Linked DNA regions of Rattus norvegicus. The protein of the gene in region 1 interacts with the protein of each later gene in a pairwise test. Links are inferred from orthologs where the notes say so. Each region holds a gene or a part of one and is shown in the gene's direction. Other genes may lie near its edges.

Region 1 (6,781 bases):
TGATTGTCAATTTAACAAAGATTTAGCTGTTTGTTTGTTTGTTTGTTTTTGTTTGAATTATGTGTACTGCTGTTTTACTTGTATGTATGTTTTCATACCACATCAGAGAGTCCATGGAGGCCAGAGGGCATCAGCTCCCTGGAACTAGAAGAGATGGTTGTGAGCCACACTGTGGGTGCTGGGAATTGAACCTAGGTTCCCTGGGAGAGCCACCAGTGCTCTTAACAGTTGAGCCATCTCTTCAGCCCCTGTTGCAAAAATTTTCATAACCCACATCCTACCACCAGTTACATGATCCCATATGGGGTTAAAGCCAACAGTTTTAAAAGCTGGGTCTTGGTTAATGATGTCATCTTTTCTTTTCTAGTTCAACTGAGAGCTTTGAGGTTTTCCATGCTTCCTCGCTCTCTACAATTAAGGCTGTTGTTATCTCCCAAGTGTTCTACAAGTGTAGTAGCATTCTGACTAATTCCCGTCTCCAGAATCTCTCCCCTCCCCGTAGCCACCAGATCTTCCTTTACACAGATCTGAGAGCATTGCTCCTATGTTTAAACCTATTTTTTGACTTCTAATTAATCGTAAAGTCCAGATGCTCAGGTGTGGCATATAAAAGCCTTCACATCCCAGCCCAAACCTACTTTCCTGGTCCTGTTCTTTGCCTCTGATCTCATTACAGTTCTTGCTTTTAACCACATCAAATTGTGATGCAGGGAGGCTTGGGTCTGATCTTGTCGTGTGCTCTCATGCCTTGTGCCTTTACTGTTACCTTGAATGCTCTCTCTCTCTCTCTCTCACACACACACACTCTTTGTCTTGTAAAATTCCATCTATTCTTCAAAACTATCACCACCTGCCCCCCTTTTCTTTTTTTGTGGGGCTGAGGACTAAATCCAGGCATGCATGCTAAACAAGTGTTCTACCCTTGAGCCCAGCCCTATCATCTCTGTCTTTCTAGCATCTGGCTCTCGCTACTTGTACTGCATTGCTGTGTGATAGTATACTTTTTTTTTGAATGTATATGTCTCTGCATATACACGTGCACATGGATGAGTGCCCATGGTAGCCAGAAGGAAGATTTGGTTGAATCCATTAGAACTGGACTTACAGTTTTCTGACTTGGGTGTTGGGAACCAAACTTGGGTCCCTAGGAAGAGCAGCAAGTGCTTTTATCGGCTGAGCCATCTCCTAGTTCCACATCATGAATCTCTTGCTGACAAGATTAAAGTTTTTAATTTTCATATCATCAGAACCTTGCTGAGGACCTGTTACACTGCATGCAGTTTTATTCTTTGAATTGGGCAGGAAGTTTGAACATCGTGTGTGTGTGTGTGTGTGTGTGTGTGTGTGTGTGTGTGTGTGTGTAAGGACCTATGATTTCTTTCAGCATGAGTTTTACCTTGTTTCTTTTTTTCTTCAGAAAATGGAAAAAAAAATCACAGAATAGGGTAGTTGATGGGCTCCCTTGGAGATGGTTGCTATGTCGAATGTCAGGTTTTTAGCTAAGTCTGTCAGGGACATAGAGACTGAATTCTCAATGTCAGATGGGTGTCTGCATGTGGCTCTTTCCAGATATCAGAATTCCTCTGAACTACGGATGATTATCGATTCAAGACTTAGGTTTTAGACTCCCTGGAAAAATCTGAATAGTAAGGTTATAGTGTGCAGTTTGTACTTATTTTATATGCAGTGAATTCCCCGTGTCTTGAAAAACTGATTCGTTATCTTGAAGAGAGAGAGAGAGAGAGAGAGAGAGAGAGAGAGAGAGAGAGAATATGTGTGATTTTGTAGATATTGCCCAAAAAAAAAAAAAAAAAAAAAAAAAGCATGAAACTGACGTAATCATTCTTCTTAGCCCAAGCTGGGCTCAGTAGGAACCACTCATGAGCCTTGCAAAACCCAGAATGTGTAGATGAAATGAACAGATGTGTATTTGTAGAACCGTGGTAGTAGCTTATGGGTGGGTGGGAAAGAGATTTGTTCCAAAATCCTTTCAAATACAAGAACTTCGTTCTTACTAGACTCCAAGCAACAAGTTGCAATTGGAAAAAAATGAACAGATGGGTCAGCTAAGGGCCTACAGAAAAAGCCTTTGGGTGGATTTCTTGAGATCTGCCAACCCATACTGAGGTCCCGTGGCTAATTTTGGGTCCCTCAGTTCCTTTTCACCTCATGAAACCTCTTTCTGGCTTCTCAAAAGAGTTCTGGGCATCACTTTCCCCAGTGCTAGACAGTGAGGGATCTGGGCTTATCAGCACAGAACCCTCAGTCTCCTTCCTCTAGGAGCTTCCAGGAGGGCGCCCTTATAGCCAGGAAGAGGAATCACAGATGGCGGAGGGTGTAGCCGAGTCGAAGAGTGAGCAATGCTGGTAGTGGGGGCTGCAATCGTGGGTGGCTTCACCCAGCAGCTCCGGCTCCCGGGCTACAGTGCTGGCCCTAGCGTCAGAAAGGCCGCCCCTGTCGGCCCTCCTCCCGGGCGGGGCCAGCCCCGACGGCGCTGACTCAGCAACGCGAGGGGGGAGTTTTGTCCCTCCGCGGACCCCGTTTCTCTCGGCCACCATTGAGCGGGTTTCCTTCTTCCGGCGCTTTGGGTGCGAGAACCAGGTCCGGCCAGCTAGGCAGCGGGTTGTAGTATAACCCCGGAGCTCACCTGAGGACCCTGAAAACTAACGTTTTCCCACGAGGCAGTTTGGGCACCATGAACAACGCAGGTGAGACACTGCTTGTACCACGAGTGCTTTCCGGGATCCTCTCCCGGGCTCCGCAGATCCCTGAGGCCCGGTGGCGCGAAAGGCCGTGGGATGGGGGTTAGACTAGGTGAGGGCGGGAGAGCACCAGGAGGGAGACATCTCGTGGAGAGGATGCCCCGGGAAAGGGTTTTCTGGGTTCAGCACTCTGCAGGATGCTCTTGCGAAGTTAAATCTAGGATCTACAGTGACCCTATCCTAAAGCTGTCCCCGTCAGCCTCTTTGGGAGGGGGTATAATTATAATGGCATTTGATTTCCCCACAGGACTAAATTCGGAGAAGGTAGCTGCTTTGATCCAGAAACTAAATTCTGACCCTCAGTTCGTACTTGCCCAGAATGTCGGGACCACCCACGATCTGCTGGACATTTGTCTGAAGAGGGCCACAGTCCAGGGTGCTCAGCATGTGTTCCAGCACGTTGTGCCTCAGGAAGGCAAGCCAGTCACCAACCAGAAGAGCTCTGGTGAGGTCTTCGACTTCTTGCCTACTTTACTGACAGCAGCCTATTTTGTCGTCCTAAAAAACGGCCTTGGGATAATAGAGCTTTGTTGCATTGAAAGAACTTGTAGTAAGAGAATAGGTACAAAAAAAAAAAAAAAAAAAAAAAAAAAAAAAAAAAAAAAGGGGCAGGCCCAAGAACATTACCTGTGTGGCAGCTTCGGTGTTGTATGGCCTGTTAGCTTTTAGTTTGTTTCCTAACGTGACAGATGATGGTCTTTGAATGTGTATCACCATGCTGTTTTGATATTACATGATGTTGGATATGTGCAATTTGTCTTCTTGCAATTTTTAATTGTAACAGTTCATCTAGAAGTAGCAGAAGATCGAAACAGCTTACAGGGGAGAGGTTGCATACAGACAAACCTAAAGCAGAGATGAGCTGTGTACTGACAGATTTGGCCTGTGCCCTTGATCACAAATAATCAATGGAAAAATATCCATACCATAGAAGATGTCCCAGAATTGCCCTGAAATAAAAATGCATAAAATAGAAAAAAAAAAAAAACCCAGTAAGGTGACTACAACAAAGGGTCACTATTTTTAAATGTGCTCTGTGGTGGCAGTTGGAGTTGCCGTGCTCATAGGTCAGTTCCTGTCGGTAGTTACTTTGTAGTGTTCTGCGTTCTCATTCCTTGCTGGCTGAGAAGTCTTGTTTTGCTGTCTGCTGTCCAGTTACAACTGTTAGAAATATATCTACACTGAGAGATTGCTTATCTAGGAATCCAAACAGGAGAAATAGTCTCAAAAAAATTGAACTCAAGGGACCTTGCATCTTTTTTCTTTATTTGGACACTACCCCAGGACCATGTGTCTGGACAGAAAATACAGTATTGTTACTTAAAGCAACTCAAAGCACAAAGGATACATTTAACGTGGGTAATGTTTTGCTGTAAGTGAATTATACCATAGTAAATTTGATTTTTTAAATTTTAAAGGAAAAATATATGCCCTTCCAATAATCTTCTTAAGTGGCAGAAAGAACTTAGCATTTACAGGCCTTGGTTCAGAAGGACTTGGGGTGTGTGGTCTGTCAGGCTAGTTAATGTGTCACAATAATCTTCCATGGTCTGATTGCAGTCTCTTAGGGTAAGCTTGGACATTGTTAATCTGGAGCAGGTCAGGTCTTATGTGGTGTATCACTTGACTCCAAATACTAATAGTGTATGAGCATAGCAGTAACAATGTAATTTGATTTCATGAAGTATTTGTCTTAATAGCTCACCCAGGAGTAGCAGAAATAGGAATAGTGTGTAGGAGAGAGGCAGTGTACAGATAAGCCTAAAACAAAAATGACTCTCTTCAGAAGCACAATTTAATTTTTTTTCTTTGTTACAGAATCATTTTTGTTCAGTGTAAAAAAATCTGCAAAGCACCAGTAGGGGAGTGGTTTATTCTGTTTATCCATCAAGTCTATTCTCCGTATGAGTGCTTTTAATATGAGAGCAGACTTTAGGAATTTTTATATTTGCCTTTTAGAAACCTTCTCATTTGCCTATGTGTTGGAGGCATGGTTTCGTGCCTGTGAAAATATTATATCCACGTATGTCAAGAATTACCCTTTAAATTTTCCTCTAGGAGAGTGCTACCCTTAATTCAAGGCCTCACAGAGGCTCTCAGTGTTTTCTAGCTCACCTCACAGCAGAGCTGTGCTTTGGTAAAGGCATCACTCTGAAGTTACCCTAGTCTACACTAGTGTGGACTGCTCCCAGAGATTAGATTCCCTCAGTTTTGAAAGGCAAAGTATTTGAATGTAATAAAGACATGACCTCACTTAGAAATGATGGGTGTCATTGGAAATAGACCTTTAAAAACTCAAATTGATACAGAAAGCGGTAAATTGCAGAAGCTTTGATTATGCATTTACAGAGGCAAATGAAAACATGATTATGCTCTTAATGCTTGTCATAAAATCTTCAGGGACGCTATCATGTGTGGGTTTAGAACTTTGCTGTGTCAGAAACATACTAAATGGAGGAATGGTAGTGTGCTGTGGTTGAAAATTCGGATCTAATGGTGGCAGAGATTCTGATGACCAGGTGCATACAGAAGGTATGGAGCTGGGGAAACTGAGTGGGAAAGTAGAGAAAGAGCCCTCTTGGTAGCCTCCTCCTACCTCCACTTCCCAGTGTTGGGATTACAGGCATGCACTAACTACATGTCTAGTTTATGCAGTGCTGAGGATGAAGCCAGGGTTTTACTGCGTGCTAGTTAGGCTTTCTGCCAACTGAGCCACATCTCTGTCCTGGAGCAGTGGTGCCTCTTAGCATGATTTTGTTGTTGTTAACATGACTTTAAGAAACAAATACTTTTTTTTTCATTTATGTCTCAAGTTTTAAATTATTATATTTTAACTCTTAGACTGAAGTGATCCTCCTGCTTCCTTCCTCCTAGACTTACTTACCATGTGTATTTAAATGTTTATATAACCCAGTTAGTTAAATACCACCTTTAAAATGCAACAACTCATTAGTGAGAAAATAGCTTCTGTTAAGCTTAGCACTCACTGTAGGATGAGTGCTATTCCAATTTAAGGTTTTTGTTCATTCCAAATTAAGAGTTTTGTTCCCAAATCAATCTCAGGTGATTTGCATCTCCTTAGCGCTCTCTGTCCAGAAGCACAATGCTTATTTTTTCCAAGTTCTCAACAATTTGGGCATTGTCAAAAAGAAGGACGTTTTCCCACTTTACTAATGTCTTATGAAGAACTTAAAAAAACCAAAGCATCTTTACCTTCTGCGTCTTTTTTGGACATCATGTCATCTATTCATGATCTCTGTTCATTTTTTTTTCAGTGTTTCTAGGTTATCCTAGAACTCACTACATTATCCAGGCTAACCTTGAACTCATAGTAATCTTCTTGCCTCAGCCTCCCAAGTACTGGGGTCACAGGTATGTGCCACCATGCCTAACCTAGAAGTTCTCTCTCTCTCTCTCCCTCTCTCTCTCTCTCTCTCTCTCTCTCTCTCTCTCTTATGTGTGTGTGTTAAAAATACTAAACCTCTCTGTGTGACTACACATCTTTTGTTTTGCTTCGGATTTAATATTTCTGTTCTGGGTTGAGGATGTAGCTAAGTTGGTGGAATGCCTAGCATGCACGAATTCCTGTATCACATCAAGCCAAGCATGGTGACATATATATAAAATTCTGAAGGAGGAGAATCAGGAGTTCATAGTAGGCTCCAGGACAAGGTGGGCTACATGGTATTTTGTCTTTAAAACAAACAAACAAATGTGATATTTCTGTGATTTCCTATTTAGTCTCAATGTCTAGCTCTTCCCATGGCTTTGATTTTAGAAGTGCAGTTGGAGCATTGTGGTCTATAAACAGTCATAACGTCTTGGTTTCCTTTCTCGTTGTAGGACGATGCTGGATCTTTTCTTGTTTGAATGTTATGAGACTTCCATTCATGAAAAAATTTAACATTGAAGAATTTGAGTTTAGTCAGTCTTACCTGTTTTTTTGGGACAAGGTAGGGAATTGACCTTGCATGGTTTCTTTCTGTTTTCGTAGCAGCCCTAGTTAGGGACAGCCTTTA
Region 2 (6,271 bases), on another chromosome or scaffold:
AAGATCCCAGAGTCTGGATTTAGTGCTGGGAAGAGCAACAAGTGCTTTTTACTGCCTAGTCATCTCTCCAGACCATATCTCCCCCTCTCTTCTTTCCCTCCCCCCCTCCCTCCCTCCCTTCCTTCTTTCCTTCCTTCCTTCCTCCCTTTTTTCCTATAAAACAGGATCTTACTGTCTGTCCAAGAACTCACTATGTAAACCAGGCTGGCCTCCAGCTCACAGAAGCATACCTGCCTGAGTGCTGGGATTAAAAACCCATGCCACCATGCCAGGCTTGCTGATCATATTTTGTGGGATAGACTTAGAGACCACAGAGTCTGCTTCTGAGCACCACAGACTAGCCGGTTTGTTTTTCCCAGGCCTGCGTCCTTACAACTTCATTTTGAACCTGCCTTCTCTTCCCTTTTGCAGGGTTCCTAGCCTTGACTTGTTGGCATTTTGAATATCAATTCTTCTTTTAGTGTGTTTTATAGCATTTTTGTCCTGTGTGAGATAGATGCTGTTACCAGGCCCCCTACCCCACCCCCCAGCTGTGACAAACAGGTCTCTAGACCTTGTCCTGCTGTGATTGGCTTGTCCGTAGGCACACCTAACTGCATTGTTTCTCCCAGTTCTTCTGTCTTGAAATAAATGCTGCTTCTGCAGTCTGTGTTCTGTTAGATGTTACTGTTCTTTCCAGATCCTACTTAATGATGAGAATGGTAGCTAAGATGTGTGGGACTGTGTGGTTTTGCAGGTTTTCCTCCCCATCCCTATCCCAGTGCTTAAGTATTGAACCCCAAAGGGTCTTGAGTTTGTCTAGCATTGTCATTGAGGACTTCCCACACACACCCCGCCCCCAGCACTTTACATTGCATTTCACATTGCCCTGGGCTAGGTGCTTCACTGTGTCTGCTTCTCCAAATTCAGCTCATGGGTTACGCGGGCTGCAGTCTCAGCTCTTTGTTGCTTTCGTAGCCCTTTTGCTAGGGATAAGATCAACTGATATCCTGGAGATGTTATCATCACCACTCCCTGTTTTAGTTTCCATTTAACAGTTAAGTAGATTCCAGGGCCTGGGCAAATGCAGAGTACTTTCTATTCCTACTGTAGCTCCCAGCATTTCCAAATGTAAGGACCTCACTCCCAACCCCCTTAACATCAAACATTTCATGGAAAGGCAGGGCTAGAGAGATGGCCTAAGCTGTTTAGAACACTGGCTGCAATCCCAGCTCCCTCTGGCAGAGGCCAGGACGATAACCTCAAGTTAGAGACTGGCCTCCGTTCCACAGCAAGTTCTAGGCCAGATCCTGTCTCAAATACGAAACAACAAAAATTTCATGAGATTCCTCAACTTTGTATTAGTTGTGTTATGGAATATAATTAATGACTGAGTTTGGTGGCATATGCTTTTAATCTTAGCACTCTGGAGGCAGAGGCAGGAGGATCTCTGAGTTTGAGGTTAGTCTAGTCTACATAGTGGGCTATGTGGCAACAAGCCAGCCAGAGCTACACAGTTAGATCCTGTCTCAAAATAAGTTAGTGAAAAAGGAACTTTTAGGGCTGGAGAGATGGCTCAGTGGTTAAGAGCACTGGCTGTTCTTCCAGAGGTCCTGAGTTTAATTCCCAGCAACCACATGGTGGTTCACAACCATCTGTAATGGGAATCCAATTTCCTTTTCTGGTGTGTCCGTGGATGGCTATAGTGTACTCATATAAAATAAATAAATGAATCTTTTAAAAAAAGGAACCTTTAGCTTCATTTTTAATTTAACTTTATTTTTTTTAAAGATTTATTTATTTATTTTATTTATGAGTACACTCTATCTGTCTTCAGACACAGCAGAAGAGGGCATTGGAACCCATTACAGATGATTGTGAGCCATCATGTGGTTGCTGGGAATTGAACTCAGGACCTCTGGAAGAACAGCCAGTGCTCTTAACCGCTGAGCCATCTGTTCAGCCCTCATTTTTTATTTTTATTTAGTTTTTTATTTATTTGTTTTCTGGAGACAGGGTTTCTCTGTGTAGCCCTGGCTGTCATAAAATTCTATCTGTAGACTAGACTGGCCTCAAACTCAGAGCTCCACCTGACTCTTCCTCCTGAGTGCTGGGATTAAAGGCGTGTATCACCACTACTGCCACATTTTATTTTTTTCCCTATGTAACATTCACAGAAATTTGAGAAATATCGGGCAGTGTATATTCAAGCCATATCATGAGTTCTGCCTGCTAATGCTGTTTGTAGACTCTTGAACGGTGCCTTAACTCCAAACCACCTTCAGGATGGAGACGGGGACAAGGCAAAAAGGAGAAACTGCTAGCCTGTACCTAAGCTGTTTCCCCATCTCTCTGAACTAATGACTCCTCCTCTGCTGTCTTTATGCACCTTTAATGGACCCCCTGGGATAATTGGTGCTTTGCCTCTATGCCTCTGGTCTGTAGGCATTAATTCATGATCTAAGCACTTAGCTGTGATGTGTATCTCATGCCCTTGAAGATGCTCCTGGTTAAGTTCAGAATTCCTGTGAGACCAGACCAACACATGTCTTCTCAGAACTTGGATAAACATTTTATGGGGTGTGCTCAGAGCAGAGGGCCTAAAGAGTGGCTTCTCTGTTTACAACGCACCCAAGAAGAATCTGGGACCATTGTAATGAGGGGCACAAGCAGTTTCCTCTCTGTGACTGGATCCCCTACATCTGTCTCCCCTATTCATCCACATAGCTTCCAGGCGAAACCAGTGGGACAGGACTTGGTATGGGGGAAGTGTTCCAGCATTTAGCTGCAGGGCGATGTCTAGAGCATAGTTGGTCCATGAGTGAGTGTCCATGGGTGGTCTGAGGAATGACGACTGGACCTGAGTTGGTTCTCTCTTCTCCTCCTGGATACCCAGGAGCGCACGCAGGTCTCAGGCTTAGCCTTTACCCTCTGAGCTAGTTTGCCCTCCCTGAATCTTTCTTAAAAGTGTAGGTGGGGTAAGGGGGACTAAAGTTACCAGCCAGCAAACTGGAAGACTTGAGTTCAATCTCTGGGACCCACAGTCCCTGAAAAGTTGTTCTCTGACTTCCACACATGCACTGTGACATGCAAAAATCTCTGTGTCTGTCTGTCTCTGTCTGTCTGTCTGTCTGTCTCTCTGTCTGTCTCTCTGTCTCTGTGTGTGTCTCTCTCTTTAAATGTAATCGAAAAAGCGTATTTCAGGGCTGGAGAGATAGATAGCTCTGCCGTTGGCAGCCCTGGCTGCTTCAATTCCTAGCAACCACATGGTGGCTCACAACCATCTGTAATGGGATCTAATGTCCTCTGCTGGTGTGTCTGCAGACAGCTACAGTGTAATTGTATACATAAAATAAATGCATAAATAGTTTTTAAAAAAAGAAAAAGCACATTTCTGTAATACTTTTTGTTTACTATAATTTCATAAATTTCCTGCATGCTGTTCCTGTCTTTCTCAGGTAGTGAGGTGTGGATGAGTAGAAATTGGCTCTAACAGTGAGTGATAGGGCCAGCAGAGCGCTCATGAGGCTTATTCTGAGCAGAGGTGTATCTGATTCATTACATACAGATAGGGACCCAGAGGCTGAGCCATGAAGTCAGCTAGGAGGAGTGCCTGTGCTTGCCTGTGCTTGGGAAGGAGGCTCAGTGTGATACCCTGAGCATTGCTTAAGCAGGTTCTGACTATGTCACATAGCTAATTGCCTGTCACATAGGGAGAGATTTGGCTGGGATAGAGCAGAGCATAGGAAGATGAATTTCGGTTTCCACCTTTTTTTTTTTTTTTTAAAGCTCTGGCTGTCCCGGAACTCAGTCTGTAGACCAGGCTGGCCTCAAACCCAGAGATCTGCCTGTCTCTGCCTCTGCCTCTGCCCCTGCCCCTGCCTCTGCCTCTGCCTCTGCCCCTGCCCCTGCCCCTGCCCCTGCCCTGCCCCTGCCCCTGCCCCTGCCCCTGCCCCTGCCCCTGCCCCTGCCCCTGCCCCTGCCCCTGCCCCTGCCCCTGCCCCTGCCCCTGCCCCTGCCCCTGCCCCTGCCGTGCTGGGATTAAAGACGTGTGCCAACACTGTCCAGCTCCTAAAAGGACTTTTAAAATGATTTTTTTATTTTTTAAAATGGAAATGTTTTCAGTTTATTTTAATTTCATATATGTATGTGAGTGTGTATGTGAGTTTGTGCTTGTGAGTATGTCAGATCCCCCTGAAGCTGGAGTTACAGGCAGTTGTAAGCTGCGATGTGGTGCTAAGAATTAAACTAGAAGAGCAGTAGGCATGGTTAATCAATCACCAAGCCAATTCTCCAGCCCTATTTATTTTTGAAACAGGTCCTTACTATGTGGCCCTATCTGGCTTTGAATTGGAAGAGATCTGTCTCCCAAGTACTGGGATTTGAGGAAGGTGACAGTGTGGCGTAAGATTGAATTTTACAGAGGAGAAAAGCAGGGTTTGGAGAAGCCAGGAAGGAATTGCATAGCTGCTTTGCCTGGTGGTGATTGAGTTGGGATTCCAGAGTTTCTCAGCTTTTGGAGTCCTGACATAGTTTTTACTGGCCTCAGTCAGCCTCCTGGGGTAGGAAAGGGCCCTCTGCACGTGTGCACCCAGTACAGGTGGGCTAGCAGCTGTTGGCTGTGCCAAAGCCACCTGTTAACCAGCTGTCAGATGAGGCGGTTACGGTCTTCTCTAGTTATATCCTCACCCATCTTTTGTTTAAATCCAAAAGACAGCTGTTCACTTGTAATTATATTGATTAAGCAATCATTTTGTTTCAGTGAGGAAAACATTTGGAAGCTCTGTGAATACATCAAAACACACAACCAGTATCTGTTGGAGGAGTGCTACGCTGTCTTCATATCGAATGAGAAGAAGATGGTAAGTTGGTAAGTGATGACGGAATGAGGTGAGGCTCAGGGGGACCTGAGAAGCCAAGTACAGCGCAGACACTGTGCTGTTCTAACATACACTTTGGAGCAGCAACCTTTCAAACATTTAGTTTCATTTAGATTCACTTTAGAAGTATTTAGTCCCTTACTCTAGGTGACAAACCGTGTGATGGTGTATTTATGCAGATTACATTCCCTCCCCTCCTTCCTTTTTGAGACAGTGCCTCATAGTATAGACCTTGGCTGACCTGAAACTCACTGTGTAGACCAGACTGGCCACAGACTGAGGCACCCTTCTGAGAACTGGGATTATAGGCACGCTGCATGTATGGCTTAGAGCTTTTTAAAAATTGTGTTATTAGAGCCGCCTGACTCAGATTTGAAGTAAAGGTTTGTCTCTGTAGTTTAAATAGAGCTGTAGTAAACTTTCGTGAATCGTTAGATGCAGCCCTTTGTGCCATCTTTGGGGTTAATAAAAGTCCTATGAAATAGGCCAGGTTTATTTTAATGACTTCTGTTTCTAGAGACAGAGCTCATGTTACCTCAGCACTTCAGCCTCACACTCATTATGTAGCCAAGGCTGGGGCTGCAGCCTCATACTGCCATGTCTGCTAACTTTCTCTACATAAAAAAAGGCGAAGAAGGAAGCCAGGCAACAGTGGCTGAAACATTTGGGAGGCAGGGGCAGGCATATCTCTGAGTTTGAGGCCAGCCTGGTCTACAGAGTGAGTTCCAGGATAGCCGGGGCTACACAGAAAAAAACCCTGTCTCGAAAAACAAAACAAAAAAATATGAAGAAGGAAAGATGCAGAGAGGTCTCAGGATAACTGAACGGGAAGGCAGGACTTGACCCTGCCTGGCCTTCTTTCTCCTAGTCTAGGCCTTCCTGCTCTCTGGAGGGCACTGCAGTCTTCTCTCCTGAAGGACGCTAACACTTAGGATTGGGACATCATCCCTTCACGTTGATATTAATTGCTTAGAAACATAAACACTTTGATTTTTTTAAAAAAGATTTACTTATTTTTATTTCATGTGCATTGGTGTTTTGACTGCATGCATGTCTGTGTGAGGGTGTCAGATCCTCTGGAACTAGAGTTACAGACAGTTGTGAGCCGCCATGTGGGTCCTGGGAATTGAACCTGGGTCTTCTGGAAGAGCAGCTTGACCACTGAGCCATCTCTCCAGACCCAACATTTTTGATTTTTAAATTTAATTTAGTTAACTTAATTATTGTTTCTGAGATAGGGTCTCACTGTGTAGTCTCGGCTGGCCTGGAACTTACTAAGTAGACCAGGCTGGCTTCAAATTCACAGAGAGACACCTGCCTCTGCTTTTGAGTGTTGGGTTTAAAGGTGTGTGCAAGCATGCTTGATTGGTTTTTTTCGGGGGAAGGGTTGGGGAGACTACAGGTATGGGTGT
Region 3 (5,951 bases), on another chromosome or scaffold:
TTAAAATCATTTCTAACAAACTCAGAATGCTCATTCACAAGTAAAACAGTGCTTGGAAATTCTCCATTGTGATTTGAGTTTCCAGGTTTTGCTGAAAGCTGGATGTCATAGAGCATGCACGGTTGTCTGTAACCCCAATACTTGGGAAGTAAAGGAACTAGAATCTGGGTGGGGGAGAGTCTCAGCTACATAGCAAGTTCAAAGCCAACATAGCTACATAAGTCCCTATCTCAAAATAAAACAGATTTTTAATGGAGGGAAGAACTAACCATTTATAAACTCATGAAATAGCACCATAGGAATGGCGATGCATGAGATAATAAAATTTTCCATAAGACTTAGTCAATGTTACATGATAGTTGCAGAATTTTTTAATTATTTCCTTTATGTGGCTGCCAAATTGTGACTTTTAAGAAACGAAAGTTGCTGGAGGCACTTTGATCCTCGCTTTGTGGCCACACACTTGCAAATGCAGTACTTATCTTGCCTTCCATTCCAGAATGAGCATTCACTGAATTGGGGCTCTTTCCAGAGTGATTTCAAAACGTTTGAACAGTTTGGAGCTCACAGTGCCCAAAGTCATGCTGACACCACCTGTTCTTTTGCCTCATCTGATTAGGGGAGACAATAGAAGACGCTGTGCGGAGAGAGGTAGGAGAGGAAAGTGGAGTCAAAGTTGGCCATGTTCAGTATGTCTCTTGTCAGCCGTGGCCAATGCCCTCCTCTTTAATGATTGGCTGTTTAGCTGTGGCAGTGTCTACAGAAATTAAAGTTGACAAGAATGAAATAGAGGATGCCCGATGGTTCACTAGAGAACAGGTAAAGTTCAATTTAATTTCCTTGTTGTATTGATTGTTCCACGATAGTATTGGTTTGGGCATGCCGCATGGAAGCATATTTTCAGCAAGTCGAACGGATGGCTGCAGCCCCCTCATTATGAATGGATTATAATGTAACTGACGGTTCCGGATAGAAAATGTGCGTTGTTAATGTGTCCCCCGACTCATTCCGCGAGATTCTTCTAAAACGATGCTGCTGTGCCAGTTCAGATTTCACATGTTGGACCTATTGATGAATGAATGCTAATCCCTTTCAGTGAATTAAAGTCTTCATGTTAGTTCAGACATCACAAATATTAATCTCAGACCTTTATGTTAAAGCCAATAGCTTTCAAAAAGAAGTCGGTAAAATGCTTGAAGTTTTTGTGTATTTTGAAAGCTAGTGCTGAAGCACATGAGTTACCAAGAGCTTGAGAGCAATACGTGGTGAGTCCCAGGCCTGGACTGAATAACAAGACTCCGTCTTTAAAATAATATATATGGGATGTGTGTGTGTGTGTGTGTGTGTGTGTGTGTATGAAGTACAAAGAAAGAAAATAAATGAAAGGCACAAAAAACATAGATGTCACTAAATACATAGATATATGTCATAATTGTCATAATATATATTTATAAGAACTTTTAAAAGTTATACCTCTAGGTCACAAAGATAAATAATTGAAATGTTTCAAAAATTGTATAGAAAATGAACACAATATATATTAAAAATGAAGACTCGTTTATGGCTTTGTCCACACGAAATTAATTGTTATCTTATATTCACTAAAGAAATCAGATTGTTGTTTCAGAATTGTGGGAAAAGGACCCCATACCAACAGCTTGTCTTCCCTTTGAAGTTAAATGCAGGACATATATTTTATCCATGGCCTTGATTTCATATGCCTTTCTGAAACATTGAAAAATTGAAAACGGGATTCACTGCAGAACTGGGAGCGCTACATTAGCTGGCCTCTAACGAGTTCATTATGACTGTGTTTCAGGTGGTGGATGTTCTTACCAAAGGGAAGCAGCAAGCATTCTTCGTGCCACCAAGCCGAGCTATTGCACATCAGTTAATCAAGCACTGGGTTGGCATGAACCCCAGTCTCTAAATGAAAAATGCTAGCCTCTGTCGAGTATCACCTAATTTTTAACACTACTTATATATCAAGAAAGAGTAGATATATGTACTGATCTTTAGAACCTTTTAACGTAAAACTTGGGAGCTTCAAAAATGTTTTCAGGTTCTTTCCATTATTAATTACAAAATTCACAGTTTTATAAACTGGAATGATGCCTCAAATTTTTTCATAAATTCGGAGGCAGCCTGTGAACATTTTTGTTGTGTTTCCCAATTTTATCTCAGAAAACTAATTGTTTGTCTACCAAGAAAGATCATGTTGGGATGAAGTGTGCTCCAGAAATGAGGTAAACCTTAATCTTTGTAAAGAGTGGACCCCTTGTTGGAGATATTTGTCAAGATAACTTTGGTGACTTTTGAGCGTCCGTAATATTTAATCATCTAATTATTATCTTCCTGGTCTTTTGTCTACTGGTAGTACTGTTGTACTATTAGTCCTAGTTTGATATGACCAGTGTTGAAAATTATTTTATAATTATAATAATTAATGTCAGTATTCACTTATGAAATACAGTAGCTTGGCACCAACCTTTCTCATCAGATCCTCAGAGCCTTAAGTAGCACACCTTAGAATGGGGCTGCTCAGCTCTATGGATAGTTAGTGCAGTGTTTCAGTTTTACAATATAGATGCATATATTTTACTTGATTGTCCTGCAGTTGTCTTAACTACATAAATTTACATATGTTGCCTCTTTACTAGTCTGGTAGAACTTGAAGAGAGCATGAACACAATAGATGTTGAACATCATCATTTTAATAGTATGCATCTAAGACCTAGATCTCCAGTGCAGTAGGAAACAGAAGCTATTACTAAAAGTGTCTGTAGACTAAGGAGCCAGAAAAATGGCTCTGTCATTAAGGTGCTTGCTGTGCAAGCATGAGTCCTTGAGTTCAGATTCTCTGCAACGGTTTCAAAAGCTGTGTTCAGTACCATCCAACTCTAACCCCAAACCTAAAGAGGCAGAGATGTGAGTATCCCGAGGGCTTGTTGGCCAGTCAGTCTGGTGAATCACTAATTGGAATAACAGACCTTGTCTCAAAACGTAAGGTGGAAAGATGGAGATGGATCCAATGTGAAGAGCACCTGTCATTCCTGTGGAGGACCAGGGTTTAGTTCCCAAGATCCTCCTCAGGCAGGACACAACCCCCCTGCAGCTACAACTTCAGGGGATCCAACACCCTCTTCTGGCCTCTGCAAGCATCTGCATGAGCATTTAATGAAGACACAGACACATAAATAGAAAGATTGAAGAATACACCTGACTTCTGTCTCTGCCCTACACCCCCCTACACACACACACACACACGTGTGTGCACACATTCCCACACACATGTGTGCACACATTCCCACACACAGGCACACACACACAATAAGTGAAAAAACTGATGATAGGAAGAATGAACTTAGCTTATCAGATGTTTTTAATTGAAAATTTAAGTATAAGGCTTAACATTTATTTAACCTAAATAATGTAACTTTCTTAGAGAATTTACTTTACTAATGAATACTGTTGCTTAGCAGTTAATGAAGGCTTTATTAAAATCAGTGCTTTGACCAAAATAGGACCTACACAGAACATTTATATATGTGGTAATTTGGACCTATATAATTATGTTAAAAGTTATACTTTGAGTATTATGAAATATGATCAGCTAAAGTTCATCTTTGCTCCAAACATGCTTTTAATATTTGTCTATTCTTATATAATGTTGTAAACTCTCCACGTCCATAATGTTAAATAGCAAAGTAAAATACACATGTTAAAAATGTACAAATTTAGTTTCAAATTCCTACTGTACTTGGGAAAATTAGTGAGTAAATTACTGTGTTTAATAATCATTCCTAAGTTTTGACATTGGAGAGGTGAGGATGCACTGTAAATTTGAAAGGTTGCTTTCTTAGCCAGTTCTGGAGGGGCATTAGATACTAATGTAACAACACATTAAATGTACTCTGTGTATTGTATGTGTTTTAAATGTTTTGATGAATTTTTTGACACAAGTATAAATTTTAGCCTGTATCATTGGTTTATTAATGGTGTTCATAAGCAAATGTACAAATCTCTCTCTTTTGTTTTTGAGCTTTGATTTCACTGTAGCCCAACGTATATAATTCTTGGATTACAGGTGGGATCCACCATATCTGGCAAAAGAATTAAAATTTTGATTTGGTGCACAAATGTAGCCCAAGAGTAATTTACTTGTGCAATGCCTCCAAGGTATTGGGTTTAAACCAAAGCTTTTTTTTAATGACTATTTTGAATCTTAAGTTTTGTAGTTTGGGGTAAAATGTGTCAACAAATGGGTTTGTGAGATCTTACGTTGTGAATAATTAAAGTCTTCAGACTTAAAGCTATGTATGTAGCACAGTCTACCTTAATTACTTGTCTACTGTGGTCAATATTTGCACTTTGAAATATTCACTTGTTTGTAGTTTGCGATGAATTGAAAGCTCACAGCCTGACCTGGCAAAGCAAGCCTGTAATTGCTGTTAATCAGGCTGAAGGCTGGAGGAATGCAAATTCAAGACCTGCCTAACAGCAAAGTGACTTTGAAACCACACTGAACAACCTAGTGAGATCCCATCTAAATTAAGAATTAAGAAACAAGGTAAGGATATTGCCCAAAGATAGAACACTCACAGGTCACATGATTCAATACACAATAACATACACATACATTCACAGCACTTAAAACTTACATTGGTATGGAAATTAGCCTGTTAAAGATACATGTAGGGGTTGGGGATTTGGCTCAGTGGCAGAGCGCTTGCCTAGGAAGCACAAGGCCCTGGGTTCGGTCCCCAGCTCCGAAAAAAAGAACCAAAAAAAAAAAAAAAAAAAAGATACATGTAGGTATCTTTAACATCCATGGGTAAAGAGAAGACAGAATGGAAAAATGTGAGACCACAAGACAAAAGGAGGAACCGCAAGCTTTGATGACACAAGAGACTATGGGAGCTAGGACTATTTTAAGGAGGCAAAGGTTGTATGTCACGTGGGCAAATGCCTGAATTTTCCCAAAGTTGTCGAATAGGTAAGAACTGCAGAAAGTAATGTGAAAATAAATACCAAGTTCAATCCTCCCTCTTCTATATCATTCTTTGTTCTCTCCCTTCTTCAAATACTAGGGTAGAAATCAAACATTTTCCAAAAGAAAACACTGATTTATTTTTTTTTTATTTTTCATTCTTTCTATGGTTTCATAGATGGATGCGTGTAATGAAATATAACTACTTCCCATCTCTGTCTTTCATTTCCTCCCTCTTCTTATAACAAATCTTTTGTCCCCTTTTGTGTGTGAGCCGTGAGTTTAATTGAAGTTGCTTGAGTGACCTTGAGTGTGGGGTTATTTACTGGAGGATGGGCAACATCTCAGTGACTATACCACTGAAGAAAATCACACACACACACACACACACACACACACACACACACACACCTGACTCCACCCACAGACCCCCAACCCCAAGCCAACATCAACTGGCAATAGTCTCTCAGGGAGAATTGAGGACTCCTGGCCCTCTCTCCATCTATGCTGAAATGCTGATTAAATTTTGTGCAGAATCTTGTTATACATAGCAGATTTTCAAATAATTTTTTGTTATTTAAAAAAATGGTCAAAGATGGCATAGGGAAATGTGTAATCATCAACCTAAATTCTTTTTGAAAAGTATTAATTTTCAGCTGCAAAATAAGCATCTAGACATGAAAACTGAACCAATATAGAAATGGCTTATTCTGTTTCACTAAAAGGGTATCCACTGCCAGGCTCAGCATGGCCAAAGAAGGGACATTATGACAGGGTTCCTGCCCCTGGGGCAGAGCTAGCAGGGTGGGGGTCTTCTCCAGTGCTGATATTTGCTGTAGGCATAAGGCTTGTTTATATAATAATGTATATAATTTTTTAATATTCCTCATTTGGGGAATATTCTCCCTGCCAAGTTTATCTCACATTGTTCTCCCTACTCCATGATAATGAGAAACAGCAT

Evidence for each region.
Region 2: the proteins of Blmh (region 1) and Ntaq1 interact in binary tests that used the Homo sapiens proteins (3 or more experiments, as listed by UniProt). The two-hybrid records come from large-scale screens. The link is inferred for Rattus norvegicus from reciprocal best matches to the Homo sapiens genes BLMH and NTAQ1.
Region 3: the proteins of Blmh (region 1) and Nudt12 interact in binary tests that used the Homo sapiens proteins (3 or more experiments, as listed by UniProt). The two-hybrid records come from large-scale screens. The link is inferred for Rattus norvegicus from reciprocal best matches to the Homo sapiens genes BLMH and NUDT12.

What each region holds. Positions count from the first base shown.
Region 1 is NC_086028.1:62,267,749-62,274,529, forward strand, and holds the start of Blmh (bleomycin hydrolase), read left to right. Parts: upstream 1-2,520; 5' UTR 2,521-2,695; coding exon 2,696-2,708; intron 2,709-3,009; coding exon 3,010-3,207; intron 3,208-6,605; coding exon 6,606-6,715; intron 6,716-6,781. UniProt on the Homo sapiens protein: The normal physiological role of BLM hydrolase is unknown, but it catalyzes the inactivation of the antitumor drug BLM (a glycopeptide) by hydrolyzing the carboxamide bond of its B-aminoalaninamide moiety thus protecting normal and malignant cells from BLM toxicity.
Region 2 is NC_086025.1:91,578,725-91,584,995, forward strand, and holds part of Ntaq1 (protein N-terminal glutamine amidohydrolase), read left to right. Parts: intron 1-2,556; exon of another isoform or gene 2,557-2,683; intron 2,684-4,741; coding exon 4,742-4,841; coding exon of another isoform or gene 4,842-4,849; intron 4,850-6,271. UniProt on the Homo sapiens protein: Mediates the side-chain deamidation of N-terminal glutamine residues to glutamate, an important step in N-end rule pathway of protein degradation.
Region 3 is NC_086027.1:106,188,024-106,193,974, reverse strand, and holds the end of Nudt12 (NAD-capped RNA hydrolase NUDT12), read left to right. Parts: intron 1-619; coding exon 620-819; intron 820-1,819; coding exon 1,820-1,930; coding exon of another isoform or gene 1,931-1,944; 3' UTR 1,945-4,314; downstream 4,315-5,951. UniProt on the Homo sapiens protein: mRNA decapping enzyme that specifically removes the nicotinamide adenine dinucleotide (NAD) cap from a subset of mRNAs by hydrolyzing the diphosphate linkage to produce nicotinamide mononucleotide (NMN) and 5' monophosphate mRNA.